Linked DNA regions of Stegostoma tigrinum. The protein of the gene in region 2 purifies or fractionates together with the protein of the main gene of each other region. This does not show direct contact. Links are inferred from orthologs where the notes say so. Each region holds a gene or a part of one and is shown on either strand. Other genes may lie near its edges.

What was found.
Region 1: the proteins of vamp4 (region 2) and vti1a purify together in Homo sapiens (affinity purification with mass spectrometry; 4 studies listed by BioGRID and IntAct, counting the BioPlex papers as one, with this or other methods). This does not show direct contact. The link is inferred for Stegostoma tigrinum from reciprocal best matches to the Homo sapiens genes VAMP4 and VTI1A.

The regions. Positions count from the first base shown.
Region 1 is NC_081373.1:25,208,961-25,218,160, forward strand, and holds the start of vti1a (vesicle transport through interaction with t-SNAREs homolog 1A), read right to left. Parts: upstream 4,362-9,200; 5' UTR 4,037-4,361; coding exon 3,943-4,036; intron 1-3,942. Other genes in the region: palmitoyltransferase ZDHHC6, read left to right, coding at 5,201-5,497. UniProt on the Homo sapiens protein: V-SNARE that mediates vesicle transport pathways through interactions with t-SNAREs on the target membrane. These interactions are proposed to mediate aspects of the specificity of vesicle trafficking and to promote fusion of the lipid bilayers.
Region 2 is NC_081361.1:32,181,990-32,191,171, forward strand, and holds the start of vamp4 (vesicle-associated membrane protein 4), read left to right. Parts: upstream 1-4,702; 5' UTR 4,703-5,002; intron 5,003-9,182. UniProt on the Homo sapiens protein: Involved in the pathway that functions to remove an inhibitor (probably synaptotagmin-4) of calcium-triggered exocytosis during the maturation of secretory granules.

The DNA.
Region 1 (9,200 bases), on a different chromosome or scaffold from region 2:
AGGTAAATAAACAGCCACTGCTTTGCAAAGCATCAGTTCCAAACAGCAAGATGATAAATAGGAGTACCCCAGAGGGAGCAGTCCCTTCAGAAAGCAAAACGTTATGCGAAAGACTGATGCATGTTGACATAATATGTCGGTGATAGCAACAGCCAAAATTCCAGCAGATGTAAGCATTAGAACAATGGAAAGAGAAGACAAAAGTGAGTCTTGTCATTTCTAGGAATAGAGAAAATAGCCAAGTCTTCTCCTTCTAAAGAGCTTTCTGCTGTTCCAAGCTACCTGTTAAAGACAAAATAGAAGATTTACAAGGATGCTTCCAGAATTCAAGGGTTGGAACTAAGGGAGAGGCTGAATCGATTAGGGCTATTTCCCTAGGGCATTGGAGGCTGAGGGGTGACCCTATTGAGGTTTATAAAAATCACAGAAGCACAGATAAGGTAAATAGGCAAGGTCTTTCCTGAGGTGGAGGAGTCCAAAATTAGAGGGCATGGGCTTAAGGTGAGAGGGGAAAGATTTCATAGAATCCCTAGTGTGGAAACGGGCCCTTCGGCCCAACAAGTCCACACCGAACCTCAGAGCATCCCAGCCAGACTCATCCCCCTATAGCCCACCTAAGCTACACATCCCTATGGGCAGTTTAGCATGGCCAATTCACCTAAACTGCACATGTTTGGATTTAAAAGGGATCTAAGGGGCAACTTTTTCACAGAGAGGGTGGTGCGTGTGAGGAATCAGCTTCCAAAGGAAGTGGTGGGCACTGGTACAACATTTAAAAGGCATCTGGATGAGTATATAAATAATAAGGCTTTAGAGGGATATGAGCCAAATGCTGGCAAATGGGGCTAGATTTATTTAGGATATCTGGTTAGCATGGACAAGTGGACTGAAGAGTCTGTTTCTGTGCTGTATATCCCTATGACCATATGACTCTAAATGCATTAGATATGATGGGTAAAGGGATCTCACTGCTAAATAATAACTGAACAGTAAATGTAAAATTCTTAAATTTTGCTTCACGCTATGGTCAAAATAAAGGAGTTTCTTTGCCGCATTCAGGACTATAAAAATATGCAAAGTGAATGGGTCATAAGGGTTCGTAAACTGGATTAATAAGTTTGCAGATGACACTAAAGTCGGTGGACTGGTGGACAGTGTGAAAGAATGTTGCAGATTGCAGGCTGACTTGGATAACCTGCAGAATTGGGCTGAAAGGTGGCAAATGGAGTTCAATGCAAATAAATGTGAGGTGATTCACTTTGGGAAGAATAATAGGAAGGCAGAATACCGAGTCAATGGAAAGATTCTTGGTAGTGTGGATGTGCAGAGGGATCTTGGTGTCCATATACATAGGTCTCTGAAAGCTGCCACCCAGGTTGATAGTGCTGCTAAGAAGGCATACGGTGTGTTAGTTTTTATTGGAAGAGGGATTGAGTTCCGGAGCCGTGATGTCATGCTGTAACTGTACAAAACGCTAGTGCGGCCTCACTTGGAATATTGCGTACAGTTCTGGTCGCTCCATTACAGGAAGGATGTGGAAGCATTGGAAAAGGTGCAGAGGAGATTTACCAGGATGTTGCCTGGTCTGGACCGAAGGCCTTATGAAGAAAGGCTGAGGGCCTTGGGTCTGTTCTCATTGGAGAGAAGGAGGCTAAGAGGGGATTTAATAGAGACAATCAAGATGATCAGAGGATTAGATAGAGTGGACAGTGAGTCTTTTTCCTTGGATGATGACGTTGGCTTGTATGAGGGGGCATAGCAGCAAATTGAGGGGTGATAGATTTAAGACAGATGTCAGAGGCAGGTTCTTTACTCAGAGAGTGGTATGGGTGTGGAACGCCCTGCCTGCCAATGTAGTTAACTCAGCCACACTAGGGGCATTTAAACAGTCTTGGATAAGGATATGGATGATGATGGGATAGTGTAGGGGGATGGGCTTAGATTAGTTCACAGGTTGGTGCAACATCAAGGGCCAAAGGGCCTGTTCTGCGCTATCAGGTTTACCTCACCAAATCAAACTTCTCAATCTCCTGGGAAAGGCATGTTAAGGTCTCACGTTAAATTAGCAACACTCCAGAACATGAACGCAACTTTGGGAATCTTTAATAAGTTAAATTCAGCAATGTGTTATAGACACAGCAGAACCTGTTGTTTACCTGATCACGTGTCTCGACTTAATTAAGTAGATATTTATTAAATATGTTTAAAGGAAGTGAACAAGATAATGTTAACTTATTTCCAGGAAAACTACTCTGCTTCATTTTCACTAAACTCTGGGGGAAAATGCTGATATTCTAATGTTTAAGATAATTAAATATCTAAAATAGACTCAAGATAGCGGCATCGGCAGAGTAGGTAGGTGGTCGGGCTCCTCAGTCAGTCTCCAGACTGGCGGCATGCTTCTCTCCCCCTCTCCTTTTCATTTCTTTTTCCTTTTTCTTTTTCCCCTTCATCTTTGAGGTCAGAGTGGTGTTAATAGGAGGGGTAGCTGCAGCATGGATTGAGATTTTTGGCAGCAACAGCAGTGTCCAGAGCAGAGACACCTGATGACGAAAGGCCCAGAGCAAGGACCCCTAGCTGCGGTAATCCCAGAGCCTGGACTCTTAGCTGTGTCCGGAGCAGGGACTCTTTGCTGTGTCAACGAGGTGATGGCAGCAGTGGAGCTAAGGTCTCCTGGAGCACTGGCATTGCTGTATCCAGAGCAGGGTCTCATGGGGCTCAGAACATCTTGCAGAAACCATGGTGCCATGCTTGAGACCCAATTTGAACAGAAGATGAACTCTATTTCAGTAATTTCTTTTTATTCTTTTTGCAGCTCAAAATATCACCAAGTTGTGACAATGAAACACTTTCCCCTATATCTTCCCAGATGTGATAATAAAATCATTCATTCGTATTTGCCTTTGCTTGAAACTAATTAAATAAAAAGTATAAATACATATTATCCTGTCATACACACCTCAAAACGTTTACTCTCTTCACAGATACTACATGACTTGCTGAGTACTTTCTACATTTTGTTTACACTTCAGCGTTCTAACATCTGTAATCAGATTAGACATGCATTTCAATTAAAGTAAACAAATACATCACATCCATGCTTAACTATCTCTTCCCAAGTAAAACCAAATTCAGTTTAGATATTTTCTTCTGAAGAAAATAATTGATCCTTAATTTCAACAGGGGATGGGGCCTTTATCATAGAAGTCACTTACCCACATGCCTACCCTGAAATGTCACCGCCCTCTCCCAACCCTCATCCATGTCCTGATACTAATATGTCGTTCTGAGCAAGCAATTAGGACACCCACAGGGAGAAAGCCCAAGCCTCCTTTTAAAAATGCAGATCTGTAATTTCAACCAAAGATCCAAAGAGACATTAGATTTGCAACAACAAATGTTCTGCCTCCACAGATGTTCCTGGACCTGTTGAATTTCTTCAACACTTTCTGCTTTTGTTTCAGATTCTAAAAAAATGTCCTCAGAAACGACAGGTTAAGGAGTGGGGTAAAATAAACCAGATTAACATTTCTGACTGTTAGCCTGCATTTTCTACTCAAAAGTAGCCATGTACGAATGCTGAGCGAGTAGAAGTTTCGGTCTTACTGTGATGTTCTGTCTAGATGATAGGGTGCGTGTCAACACACTCTGACTGTGTAAATACAACCCACTTCAATGCAGTTCGTTCAACTCTAATTGCTTATGAATAATTAACACCGTTGCTCTCAAATCAACCTTGCCTTCCGATCGCTCAACACCTACTTCTGTTTCTACATAAAAAGGCTTCGAACTGTAAAATTCGTTTCTTTTTAATATCGCATTTAAGACATCATCAGAATGCGAAACCAATCCCTGGACGACGAGGTTCAGTCATCCTTCAGCTCTGTCTCCTCAACACCGATCAAACACGAAAAGTGTTTTCCAGCAGAACAGCCTCCCTACCTCCTGACAGTTTCGGTATCCTCCCCACTTTATTGGTGATCTCTGCTGTCAAGGTGCCGAAATCCTGCTCGTAAACCTCGAAATCCGAGGACATTTTCTGTGAGACTGACAGCGGTCGAAGAGTTTAAAGTAGGAGCAGCGGCCGCTTCCTCTACTCGCTCGCTGTGCCGCCCGGAAAGTCCTTCCCCCACCAACTGCCCAGCATTTGGTAGAGAGAGAGAGAGACAGATCGGAAAGTCTGCTGTCTTTAAACACTTATAGATGGAAAGGGGCTGAAGAAGTTTCGACCGGAGTGGTCGCGAGTGAAAATCAAGAGAAAGTCTTCTCCCCGATAAGTTTTGTTTTATTATTTATAAAAATGTGAGCCATGGCGGGGGAGGCGGTTGTGGGTGGCACCGGCGGAAGTGGCGGGTTTACGGTGACGGTTGGTGGCTGAAGGGAAAGAAGAAATAAAACTTTTAAACTATTCCGCACCCCCCCCCCTCCCCCGAGAGGGAAATTAGCTCCAGGATTGGAATTAACACGCTGCCGTCATATTTTAAATCGGTGACTTCCACTTGCGGGTATCCGGCCTGTCACCGGCCCAGTCCGCCCTCCCTTCCTCCATCTCGGGTTGATAGGGATACCGGCCAGGGCTTCGCACCTTGAACACCCGCCCGGTTAACCCCCTCTGTCTGATCATGTTTAATCTCCAGGAACCGCCCTCCTCCTGGAGTTATCAAAGACACAATATGCTTCCGGGGCACGAATGCAGCCAGACGGAAGGAGGAAGCTGTGTGGCGGTTTTGGGGACATGGATGGCAGTCGAGCTAACGTTTGGCTGCTCCCGTTTCTCTGACTCTCTGACATCCAGGCCTCTGGTTACTCCTCAGGCCAGCTCCAGCCGCAAGCAGCCAGAATCTGTGTTTTCTTCTCTATCCCCGTAAGTAATTGACTGAATCAAGGTCTTGATTATAAGGGTGGAGTTGTGTTTTTTTTACTTCAGCTCTAAACATACTTCACTCTTTTTATATCCCACTAGGATATCTTTTTGAGGACACCGCATGAGAAGCTTCAAGCTCATACAGAAGCACTGCATCTAAAGTAATATCATGGGGAATTTACTGGAGGTGAAAGTTGCGGTTCACAGAATTTGTTCAAAACTCTCCCTATTTATCAATCAAAAGTGATCCCTGCTTTTTTTCTGGATGCAAGAATTATTCATTGCCTGACTCTTACTTCCATTAAGTGTAACTGTGTGCATTATGATGGTTGCTGCATGTTAACTGAAGAGTATTGCTGTCTTCAATCAAAGACAATGTGTTCATTTATAAAATTTGAAAATTTACATGAATTGAAAAGAATTTGTCACTGGGGTCCAATTATAGCCCTGTCAGTTATTACAATATGTTCCTCCATGGCCATTATAGACTCAGTACTTTGGTATTGGCCTCTTGACACTCCTGGTGGAAGCATAAATTTCATTTTATTGATAAACTGGACAGTTCTTATACTTTACAACTACTTTAATGCAATGTTTGTTGGTCCTGGCTATGTTCCAATTGGATGGAAACCGGTAAGATGATGTTTGCTCTTTCTCCCTAATTTTTTTTTCTTGTCAAATGTTAAATTTACAATGGCTGTAAAGAGCTGAAAGGAGATAACTATTACAAGATTTCTACAACACATGTAACGCTAACTCTTTGGTTGTGTGTCTGATATAATGGTGATTAAATTAGATGAGAGTAGAGATCAGGGTTCTTTGAACATACGTTTTGAGTGGTAAGTCTTTGCTGTTTGATGCTCCTAGCAATCATTACAGCCATTTAACACATGAGTCATCTAAGCTTGCTACTATATTGCAAACTTGCCCATCTTGGTGATAACACATTGATTTTCTGCCTAGTCTGACAATTTTTGACTGAAGAATTAGTAAACTTGTCCTGATTTTTCATATTTAGTTCCCAGTCTGTCAAGTTTTACTGTTTGTGGCCAACTGCTCACTAATCACAACCAATAACTTAGATAGCAGTTTCAAATATTTTTGCAAAGCAAGTTCTCTGCAGTGACAGCCCTGTGAAATGTTCAGTGACATAACCTCCTAATTAATTTGCTGTATCCCAGCTGAGACCAGCAGGTTGCCTCATGTGGCTCAATCCCCCTTGTACTCAGTTCAGTGTCTTGGGGTTTGAACAGAGCTTCCCCAAGGTTGCAAAGGAGACAGGCAACCACAGCAGTATTTCACAATTGGCCAACAAGCTACTCAATATGTTGTGGAGAAACACCAAAAAGGGGAAAGATGAACAATACCAGAAATTGTTGGAAAAATTCAGCAGGCCTGGCAGCATCTGTGGAGAGAAAGCAGAGTTAATGTTTCAGTTTCAGTAAACCTTCTTCAGAACTGATTGAAAGTAGGAAAAATTTGATATTTGTGCTAGAAAGGAGATTGGGTTAGGGGAAAAAGCCTAAAGAATAGGTAGAAATGGAGCCTATATAGAGAGGAAAAACAGTTGGGCAGGCAAAGAAATGTGGGTACAGGTCATCCTGGAAGAATCTGTACCTGCTAATGGGATCCATTAGTGATTGACTTTAGGTTGTGTGGGGTAGGATTCTACATGACAGCCCGGTGTGTGGGGTTGAGGAAAGAAGATGGAATAAGGTGCTAAGACCCTAAACGTTATTGAACAATATATTGTATCCAGAAGGTTGCAGAGTTCCCAAGCAGAAAATGAGGTGGTACTCTTTCAGTTCATGCTGAACTTTGCTCAAGCATTGTAGGAAACCTGAGACAGAAATGTTGGGCTGTGAAGATAGTGTGTCGAAATGGCAGACAATTGGAAGCTCTAAGCCATTTTTGTCGACAGAATGTAGGTATTCTGCAAAGCAGTCATCCATTCTACACTTCCCCTCCCCAGTGTAGAGGAGACCATGTTGTGAGCAGCGAATACAATAGACTAGAATGAGTGAAGTACTGCTTCGCCTGGGAGGTGTGTGGGGATACTGAGGAGGGAGGCAGTAAATGACCAACTGTTACCCCTCCTGCGATTGCAAGCAAAGGTACTGTAGGAGTCGGGGGAGATATTGGGAGCATGGGAGGACTGAACTAAGATGTCTCTGAGGGAACAGTCCCTGCAAAAGGCTGGCAAGGAGATTGAGGGAATTGTGTCTCTGGTGTTGGCATCCTGCTGGAGGTGGCGGAAATGCGGCTGATGATCCTTTGGGATGTAGACATCGGTAGGACAATAGGTGAGGACAAGACGGGGGGGACCCTTGCACTCCAATGGGAGGGAAGATGCACTTGGGGCTGAAGTATAGGAATGGGTTGGACCCTGCTGAGGGCCCTGTCAATCACAGTGCTCGAGAAGTCATTGGTTGAGGAAGAAGATAAATGTATCAAAGGGCTCCTTGTCAAAGTTGGCATCATCAGGAAAGATGTGATGAAGTTGCAGGAAGTGGGGGAATGGAAGAGAGCCGACAAGAAGCAGAGTGAGGGTGTGTAGTTGAGGTTATCATGGGAGTCAGTGGGTTTGTAGTGGATGTTGATGGCCAGCCTGTCCCAAGAAATGAAAACAGATGTCATGGAAAGATGGGCTAGGTGAAGGTGAGAGCAGAGTAGAACTTGGAAGCAAAATTGGTTAGTTTTTCCAATTCTGGATGGCAAAGGAAAGCAGCACTGATATTAATATACTGGAAAAAGAGTTGTAGGTGCATGCCAGTGGAATAGGAACAAGAAATGTGCACATGCAGGTAGAAGTGGCCATCCCTTGGACCTGAGGAAAGTGGAAGGATTGACAGCAGAAGTTGTTCAAAGTGAGGACGAGCTCAGCAGATGGAGGAGGGTTGTGGTGGTAGATGGGGACAATTCAGGCCTTTTCTCCTAGAATGAGTGGTGGAGAGCCCTGAGTCTATCCTGATGGAGGATGGACACATAAAAGGATTGCATATCCATAGTGACAAGGCAGCTGGAGCCCACAAACCGGAAATTCTGAAGCTGACATAAAGCATCAAAAGTAAGATATTTCACTCCCAAAAATAGAGTAATAAACCATTAGCTCCGAGAGTTCCATACTAAGTTCTCTGGGAATAAAAAGAAATTTTGTAAACTTTTTTTATTGTAACACCATCTCTGAAAACGCAGCAGAAGGGGGAACAGATGTACTTGTTTAAATATAATTCACAGGATAAACTCGGAGTAGAAAATCTCTCCCCTCCCCCACTCCAGTGGGACTGTCCGTTCTTTCCACTCTAGCAGTTAGACACACCATTGTTCTGCCATTCTGGCGTTCCTATCGCTTAATTTGAACTATCCATGTCCTTTCTCCTCCCGCACACCAGCAACCTCTGCCCTCCCCCTCCCCAAACAAGGCATTGCATAAATGCTGCCCTTCCATACTTCACTTCAAGTTTGTTGAAGACTCGAAACATTAGCTTGCTGTCTCCACAGTTGCTACCGAACTCACTGTGATCTCCAGCATTTTTTGTTTTCCGTACAGATACCAGCATCTGCAGTAATTTGCTCCAATGTTGTGTGCCACTTTTGTTTTCCTATCTCTGCTTTATTTTTGCATTAATATTTCTGCAATTCATCTATCATGATGTTTTTGTCTTCTCTTACAATCGTAGAATCCCCATAATGTGGAAACAGGCCATTTGGCCCAACAAGTCCACTCCAACACTTTGAAGAGCATCCCACCCAGACCCACTCCCCTACCTTATCCCTGTAACCCTGCATTTCCTGTAGCTAATGCACCTAACATACACACCCCAGGACACTATGAGCAATTTAGCGTGGCCAATCACCTAACTTGGACATCTTTGGACTGTGGACAGGTCCTGGAGCACCTGGAGGAAACCCACACAGACTCAGAGGGAGCGTACAAACTCCACACAAGCAGACAGTCACCCGAGATGGGGATCAAACCCAGGCCCCAGGTGCTGCGAGGCTGCGGTGCTAACTACTGAGCCACCACTTAGAACAAATACAATGCCTAAGGGGCTTGCTGAAACAAATGTGTAAAAGTCTGAACAGATATTAGACCAACTGGTCTATTATTTCTTCGCAAGTGTCTCCTTATCTCATTTGGATCTGAACTTATACCACACTGAGCTACATTGCTTATGTAGGTCGCCTGGTTCCTAATCCACACCATCCTCAATCATCTGTTGCAGTAACTGAAATCTGTTAGTAAATCTACTGAGAATGCTATGTATGTTTGTCCTACTTTGACATGTAACTTTGTTATGTAAGATAACATTTCTGATGATGCAGGCAATTAGTA
Region 2 (9,182 bases):
GAAGAGGTGGGGTTTGGGGCCTGTGTAGGTGCAGAAGAGGGACTGTTCCACGTAACCTACAAAGAGGCAGGCATAGCTGGGGCCCATGGCCACCCCCTTAGTCAGTAGGAAGTGGGAGGAGTCAAAAGAGAAGTTGTTGAGTGTGAGGACGAGTTCAGATAGGCGGATGAGAGTGTCGGTGGAGGGGGACTGGTCGGGCCTGTGGGACAGGAAGAAGCGGAGGGCCTTGAGGCCATCTCCATGCGGAATGCAGGTGTACAGGGACTGGACGTCCATGGTGAATATGAGGTGTTGGGGGCCAGGGAATTGGAAGTCCTGGAGGAGGTGGAGGGCGTGGGTGGTGTCACGAACGTAGGTGGGGAGTTCCTGGACCAAAGGGGAGAAAATGGAGTCCAGATAGGTGGAGATGATCCCAGGCCCCAAGATGACATTCCACATTAAGCAGAGGTTCACCTGCACATCTGCCAATGTGGTATACTGCATTCACTGTACCCGGTGCGGCTTCCTCTACATTGGGGAAACCAAGCGGAGGTTTGGGGACCGCTTTGCAGAACACCTCCGCTCAGTTCGCAACAAACAACTGCACTTTCCAGTCGCAAACCATTTCCACTCCCCCTCCCATTCTCTAGATGACATGTCCATCATGGGCCTCCTGCACTGCCACAATGATGCCACCCGAAGGTTGCAGGAACAGCAACTCATATTCCGCCTGGGAACCCTGCAGCCATATGGTATCAATGTGGACTTCACCAGTTTCAAAATCTCCCCTTCCCCTACTGCATCCCTAAACCAGCCCAGTTCGTCCCCTCCCCCCCACTGCACCACACAACCAGCCCAGCTCTTCCCCCCCACCCACTGCATCCCAAAACCAGTCCAACCTGTCTCTGCCTCCCTAACCGGTTCTTCCTCTCACCCATCCCTTCCTCCCACCCAAAGCCGCACCCCCATCTACCTACTAACCTCATCCCACCTCCTTGACCTGTCCGTCTTCCCTGGACTGACGTATCCCCTCCCTACCTCCCCACCTATACTCTCTCCACCTATCTTCTTTACTCTCCATCTTCGGTCCGCTTCCCCTCTCTCCCTATTTATTCCAGTTCCCTCTCCCCATCCCCCTCTCTGATGAAGGGTCTAGGCCCGAAATGTCAGCTTTTGTGCTCCTGAGATGCTGCTTGGCCTGCTGTGTTCATCCAGCCTCACATTTTATTATCTTGGAATTCTCCAGCATCTGCAGTTCCCATTATCTCTTCCAGGTGCTGTGTAGTTTGGCCCAATATAGAAATCACTGATGAGCAAAACCACATGAGGTTACAGAACAATGACCAGCACTCTCATTCTCATCATATATCATGTCAGCAGCCTGGCTTCCACAAGTCTTCATGAACCTGAACAAAACAGTGCAGTCTTATTTGCAAGATTTAACTTACTGATGAGTTTGTTGAATTAGTATCCCTGTAAGTTTTCGAAAGAGTATGAAGACTTTACAGGCTGCTTGAAACATACATGCTGACTTGTTGAATTAACAGTTATAATGTGAAAATGTCAGTTTTGGCATTATTAATTGACCTCATTTTTTTAAAAAAAAGCACACGAATGTGTTTCATTTAGTAGTGAAAAACAGTGAAATGTTCATAGTTTTCATAAGCTCGCATTTCTACTAATTCCTTTTTTGCAGAGGCAACTTGAAACAGGTGTGGTGAGAATATTAGATGGTCAGTGGCCTATGAAGTTTGCAGCAAGTTGCTGCCCTGTTAAGCTACAGAAGGAGGAAAAAGCAGTATCCAAGTAAACAAAATCCAAGTGAAATGCTACAATGTGGAAAGCAAAGATAACAATCCCGTCAGCTTCCCTCCCTCCCATTCAATCATCCCAACTTAATTCCCTCAGCCTCCTTCCAAATGCACCAAACTCCCCCTTCTATTTAGAACAAGAACAAAGGACAAAGAAAATTACAGCCAGGAACAGCCCTTCAGCCCTCCAAGCCTGCATCACAACTAAAACCCCTAACCCTTCTGGGGACCGTATCCCTCTATTCCCATCCTATTCATTTATTTGTCAAGACGCCCTTTAAAAGTCACTATAGTATCTGCTTCCACTACCTCTCCTGGCAGTGAATTCCAGGCAACCACCACCCACTCTGTTAAAAAAAGCTTGCCTCGTACGTCACCTTTAAACCTTTCCCCTCACGCCTTAAACCCATGGCCCCTGGTAACTGACTGTTCCACCCTGGAAAAAAAGCTTCCGGCTGTCCACTCTATCTATGTCCTTCATAATCTTGCAGACCTCTATCAGGTCGCCCCTCAACCTCCATCGTTCCAGTGAGAACAACCCAAGTTTCTCCAACCTCTCCTCATAGCTAATGCCCACCATACCAGGCATCATCCTGGTAAATCTTTCCTGTATCCTCTCCAAAGTCACCACATCCTTCTGGTAGTGTGGCGACCAGAACTGAACACAATATTCCAAATGTGGCTTAACTAAGGTTCTATAAAGCTATAACATTACCTGCCAATTTTTTCAATGCTCCGGCCAATGAAGGCAAGCATGACGTATGCTTTGTTGACTACCTTTTCCACCTGCGTTGCCACTTTCAGTGACCTGTGAATCTGTAAACCCAGATCCCTCTTCCTATCAGTACTTTTAAGGGTTCCGCCATTTACTGTGTATTTTCCATCTGGATTAGACCTTCCAAAATGCATTACCTCACATTTTTCTGAATTAAACTCCATCTGCCATCTCTCCGCCCAAGACACCAACTTATCTATATCCTGCTGTATCCTTTGACGGTCCTCATCACTATCCACAATTCCACCAAACTTTGTGTCTTCAGCAAACTTACTAATCAGACCAGTTCCATTCTCTTCCAAATCATTTATGTATATTACAAACAGCAAATGTCCCAACACTGGTGCCTGATGGACGCCACTAGTCACAGCCCTCCATTCAGAAATGCACCCTTCCACTGCTACACTCTGTCTTCAGTGACTGAGTCACTTTTTTATCCATCTTGCAAGCTCACCTCTGACCGTGTGTGACTTTACCTTCTGTATCAGCCTGCCATGTGGGACCTTGTCAAAGGCCTTACTGAAGTCCACGTAGACAACATCCACTGCCCTACCCTCATCGATCATCTTTGTCACTTCTTCAACCAAGTTAGTGAGACACGAACTCCACTTCACTAAACCATGTTGCCTTTCACTAATATGCCCATTGATCTCCAGGTGGGAGTGAATCCAGTCTTGAAGAATCCTCTCCAATAATTTCCCTACCACTGAGAGATGGCTGTAATTAGCTGGATTATCCTTGCCAACTTTCTTAAACAAAGGAACAACATTGGCTATTCGCCAGTCCTCTGGGAACTCCCCTGTAGCCAGTGAGGATACAAAGATTTCCCTCAAGGCCCCATCAATTTCCTACCTTGCTTCTCTCAGTTTTCTGGTGCATATCCCATCATGCCCTGGGGACTTGTCTACCTTAATATTTTGCAAGACCCCCAATACCTCCTCCCTTTTGATCTCAACTTGATCCAAACTATTTACACACCCTTTCTCGGACTCATCACCCACCAAATTCTTCTCTATGATGAATACTGACACAAAGTACTCATTTAATACCTCACCCATTTCCTCTGGATCGACACAAAAAATCCCTTCCCTTTCCTTGAGTGGGCCAACCCTCTGCCTGGCTACCCTCTTGTTCTTTATATATCTGTAAAAAGACTTGGAATTTTCCTTAATCCTGTTGGCCAATGACTTTTCATGATGCTTTTTAGCCCTCCTGACTCCTTGCATATTTCTCCTTCTTTTCCTCTGACATTCCCAATTGTCATATTCCCAAACATCTTCCTATTCCCTCTCCTAACTTTCCCTTCCCTCCCGAATACTCCCTCACCCAATTCCGCCCACCTCCCTCTCATGCAATTCCCCACCCTCCCAAATCACCGTATCTCAATTCCCCCACTGAGTCCCCAACTTCCTCCCTTCTGATTCTCCCTCCCCCCAATTCCCAACCCTAGAGGAGACAGTGGCATAGTGGTAATAATACTGGTACACCAGGCTAATGCTCCAGGGGCACAGGTTTGATCCCTCCATGGCAGATGGTGAAATGTGTACTCTAGTAAAAAGTTTGGAATTAAAAGTTGGTGTCTGATGAAGGGTCTAGGCCCGAAACGTCAGCTTTTGTGCTCCTGAGATGCTGTTTGGCCTGCTGTGTTTATCCAGCCTCACATTTTATTATCTTGTAATAATGCCCACGTTGGTTATGGCTATGTTGAACCTTTAACTTCATTTTTCTACCTTTATACTCATTTGTCTGGTTTATTTCTGGTTTTTGTTTAAGATGGCACTGAAGAGTGGCGACATTATACAGCACTTTTCACCATATTTGTAACAAGTACATGGAACAAATACCCTTGACAATAAATAAATCAATGATACTAATGCCATTTCGATTGCCATAAAACCCCATCTGGTTCACTCATGTCCTTTGTAACTCCAGACCCATACCAATGAGGTTCACTTTCAAATGCCCTCTGGGTAATTCGGGAGGGTGGGGTAGTCTGTGGGCTGCCATTGATGCTCACATCCCAGCCACAAATAAAACTTACCTCCTTGTCACTCCTCATCCGTCCTGCCCCCAGGTTGACCATCCCTCCCACATGACATGATTCTCTCACTTCCAACCCCTCCCCCACAAAGCACACCGTTTCCATGGAGACGGGGGGGCGGGGCTTGTGTCGGTCCGAGGCCGCACTCTGCTGCAGCTCCCGGGGTCCAGAGAGAGGGGGAGGGAGAGAGTGCGAGTCCGGGCCAAGGCCCAGAAACATACAGAGAGAGAGTGATTGAGTGAGTCTAGGCCAAGGCCCAAGGCGAGATAGTGTCCAGGCTAAGGCCCCGAGAGAGACCAGGCCAAGGCCCGGGGCCCCGGGAGAGCGAAGCCGAGCTGACACAGTCAACCCGGGAGTGGGCGAGAGACACCAGGCCCTAGAGGCGGCTGGTGGAAGGTAAGGATGAGGCCCCGGACCGGAGGATCTGTCAGTGGGTGGGAGGACGGACGGACCGTGCCCCCACCGCCTCTTGGTCTCCTATTCCCGGGTCACAGAGAGCTACCCCACCCCAGGTCACAGCCCTACCCTCTTTAGCTTCCCACCCTCTTTTGCCCCACCCGTTACAGCCCCACTATTCCTGGGAATGCAGAGAACCACCTCAGCCCTGGTTGCAGCCCCACCATCCCTGGGGTAATGGAGAACTGACCCCTGCCTTGAGGACGCAGAGTTCCTGCTCCTACCGTTACAGAGGCCACCTCCCTCCCCAACCCCCGCCAATGCCTGCTGTTGGTCACCGAGGCTTGTACGCCCTGAGTTTATGTTACTGATCCAAATGTCTCCAAGTCACATAGCACAGAAGAGGCCCATCAAGCCTATGCTGACCTGTCTACACCTAATCCCAATTTCCAGCACTTGGCTGTAGCGCCTTGAATCTTATGACATTTCAAATGCACGTGTTTTGAGGCCTGCAGTCATTTACACTAAAATAATCAGAGGGTTAGATAGGGTGGATTGGGAGAGCCTTTTTCCTAGGACGGTGACGGCGAACATGAGGGGGCATAGCTTTAAATTGCGGGGTGAAAGATATAGAAGAGATGTCAGAGGTAGTTTCTTTACTCAGAGAGTAGTAAGGGAATGGAACGCTTTGCCTGCAACAGTAGTAGATTCGCCAACTTCAGATACATTTAAGTCGTCATTGGATAAGCATATGGACGTACATGGAATAGTGTAGGTTAGATGGGCTTGAGATCGGTATGACAGGTCGGCACAACATCGAGGGCCGAAGGGCCTGTACCGTGCTGTAATGTTCTATGTTCTATGTTCTATTTCAGAAATGGGAATCCAAGTCATGGGCGTCATTTATATTTTGGGATCCGAGGATACATATGTTATGATGTATATCCTCGGTCGTAAAGCACAGGTCCAACCAGCCTGTGCTGACCATAATCCTAAACTAGTCTGACCTGCCTGCACTTGGCTTATATCCTTGCAATGATTTCTTGTTTGTGTATTTGTCTAAATGTCCTTTAGATGTTGTAGCTGTACTCACACTCACCACTTTGTCTGGAAGTTCATTCCACACACACCACTCTTTTTAAAAAAAAATTGCCCTCATACCTTTTTAAAATCTTTTTTCTCTCAACTTAAAAATATGCCTCCTAGCTTTGAAATCCCTGACACCAGGAAAAGACACCTGCCACTCACCTTATCTGTCCCCCTTATGCTTTTATAAACCTCTATAAGGTCACTTTTCAACTTCCTACCCACTGTAAATGCTTGACCAGTGTTGGCTGTAGTGTAGAGAATCTTCATTTCTCCAATACTGAGGTGAGCTCTATACCTGCTCCTGCACTATTAACCTGGTGTCGCTAGGATCAATCTTAACCCCCTTAATTTGTAATCCCCATGATGCCCCTCTGTGATATAATCGGAAAGCATAATTTTAGATTTAATACAAGTGCAGCCTTCATACTCAAAACATCCAAAACTCTGCCTCTTGTACCCTAAGTTGTGCCAAATACTTAACACAGTGCTGACTTTGGCTCCCAGTGACACCTTGATTTTAAAATTCTCATCTTTGTTTTCAAATTACATCATGGCTTCATTCTGGCCTACTTCTTGATCCCTTTCAGCCTAACAGTCCTCCAAGATATCTCTCTCTCTCCAATTCTGGTCTCATTTTAACTCAGGCCAGTTTCAATCGCTTCACCGTTGTTAACTATGCCTTTAGTAGCCTCTGTGCTGAGCTCTGAAATTTGCCCCTGAAATCTATCACATTCTACCTTGCCTCCTTTGAGAGGCTCCTTAAATCTATATCTTTGCTTACATTTTTCACTATGCCTCATTATCTGGCTGAACTACAAACTTTGCAAGATAATATCCATGTGAAATGCTTTGGAATGTTTTACTCGATTCAAAGTGCTGCAGAGAGTTGCCATGTAAAACAAGTTGTTGCTTATTGCATCAGAATGTGCAAGGAATCTTTACAATCAATGAAATGTTTATGATGTTTAGTCACTGTTATATTGTAGAAAATGCAGCAATTTGCAATACGAAGATCCCATAAACTGCAGTTTGATAATGACCAGATATTCTGTTTCAGTGATGTTGTTTGAGGGATATGTACTATTTGAAAGCGTGCCATGGGATATTTTGAGAAAAGGACTTTTTAGTTTTGCCAGCTTTTCTCCTGAGATGCTAATAATTATTGGAATATGGTTTCCAATCAAGTCAGTGAAAGTTTGCAGGTGGGTTTTCTGTGGAGGACAACCTAGCTGAGTATGACCCTGTTTTACCTGACCTCTATGTATACACAATTATTGAGAAGACTGACCAAATAGTAATCAGTTGTAAGTCCTCTGGCAGGCTGTATCTGCAACCTCTCCTCACAAGTCCATGGAACCGAAACCAACTGTCAGAGTGCTATTGCAATTTAGGTTGTTTGGCCCACCTCAGACCAGGGTTTGAAGCTGGGTTTTCTAATCTATAAAGTTAAAAAGCTGTTGATGGCAATGCACGTAATGTTGTAAATGTTCAGGCCAATTGCACTGTTTATTTGACTTCAAGCAGATTCTGCTTTATAACAATGTTACATGTGCAGAATAACAAGCCACAAGTTTGGAAAGTGTGTGAGAATGATCTTCTGCAGGAGTTGTCTGGCGCTGCTTTGACTATGAGCTATCCATAATGTAACTGCAGTCGGTGCAAAAGAAACATTGTTTCCATTTTAGGACTTAAAAATGTGGCATTCTTGCTGATTCATTAGAAGAAGTATCCAATTCATCCTACCCTTGCCCCATTCCCTTGCAAAATGTTTTCCTCAGGTAAATATCCACTTCTGTTTTGAAAAGTTACTGTTGAATCTGTTGCCAGCCAGCATCCTTTCACACAGCACCTTCCACATTGCAGCTACTTGTTTCATATATTCAAAGTCAAAAATCTTTCTTACAGCGTCAGTCTAACCATCTGGGTCTGTTTAATTTTTTTTCAGTGATAGATTACATTTTCAGACAGCATTTTTTTCTGTAAGTTTTAATGGCATTGTTACAGGAGGGTTTAATAATAATAAAAATATGGAATCTGTGCTGAATAGTGTTACAATTTAAGGAAATGGCCTTGAGCTTTTGGATCAGGACCAGCCAAGATTGGTAGGATGAAAGTCATGTCTTTGGCTGAATGGGTCAGGTTAATGATTAAAATCTCTGAATGCCAGCTCTCTAGGTTCTAACATGAAGTAGCAAGTGGAATTTGTCTTAATTTGCTGATAATTGACAATGTCTGGATTTGATATAACAGTAATTGAGTAGTTGGGGATAATTAATTGAATAGGTAGATGTAAAGGAGGAGACAGTTGATAATTGTTTTACTTTGTAGCGCTGACGATTTGATCATGGTTTCAAAAAAAAGATCCAGAGGTATGTAATAGCATCTCTGAAAAGAAACAAAGGATATGAAGGGGGAGGTAGGTGGGACTGGTGTGTGGAAGGAGCTTCAAGACTGAGTAGTTAAGAGCTATCCACAAAGAAACATAGAGAAATAATGGGAACTGCAGATGCTGGAGAATCCGAGATAACAAAATGTGGAGCTGGATGAACGCACCAGGCCAAGCAGCATCTTAGGAGCACAAAGAAACATAGCTTGATTTCTCCCTCACTGACTGGTATCAATACAAATTGACATTTGTAACTTTGAGGTATTTTGAGAAGAATTACAGAAACCTAGTGTAATGCGTTGGATTGCTATTTCCTGCCAGTTTGCTGTGAAATCGAACCCTGTGATCAATGGAAAAGTGGACGTGTCTTGCATTCTTCTCAGATAAGAATATGGCGTTGGCACAGTCATTTCCTACTAGAAGCAAGATCAATTGTAAACTATTCTCAGTGGTAGAGTCAACAGTCGGACTGAGCAAGGTTTAAAAGTTCTCTTAAATGTTATGGATAAAATCTATAAGGAAGATGACCTAAATGAGGCATGGTCACATTCAGATTTTGAAAGGCAGGTGCGTATAAAAGGATTCAGCACCAGCTGCAAGTTTTGGAAAAAACATCAGTGCTTGCTTTTAAATTCTTGCTGTTTACTGTGCCATTGTGTTGAATGTGGATAGATGCCTGATATTAATTGGGTTTAGATTTTCAGA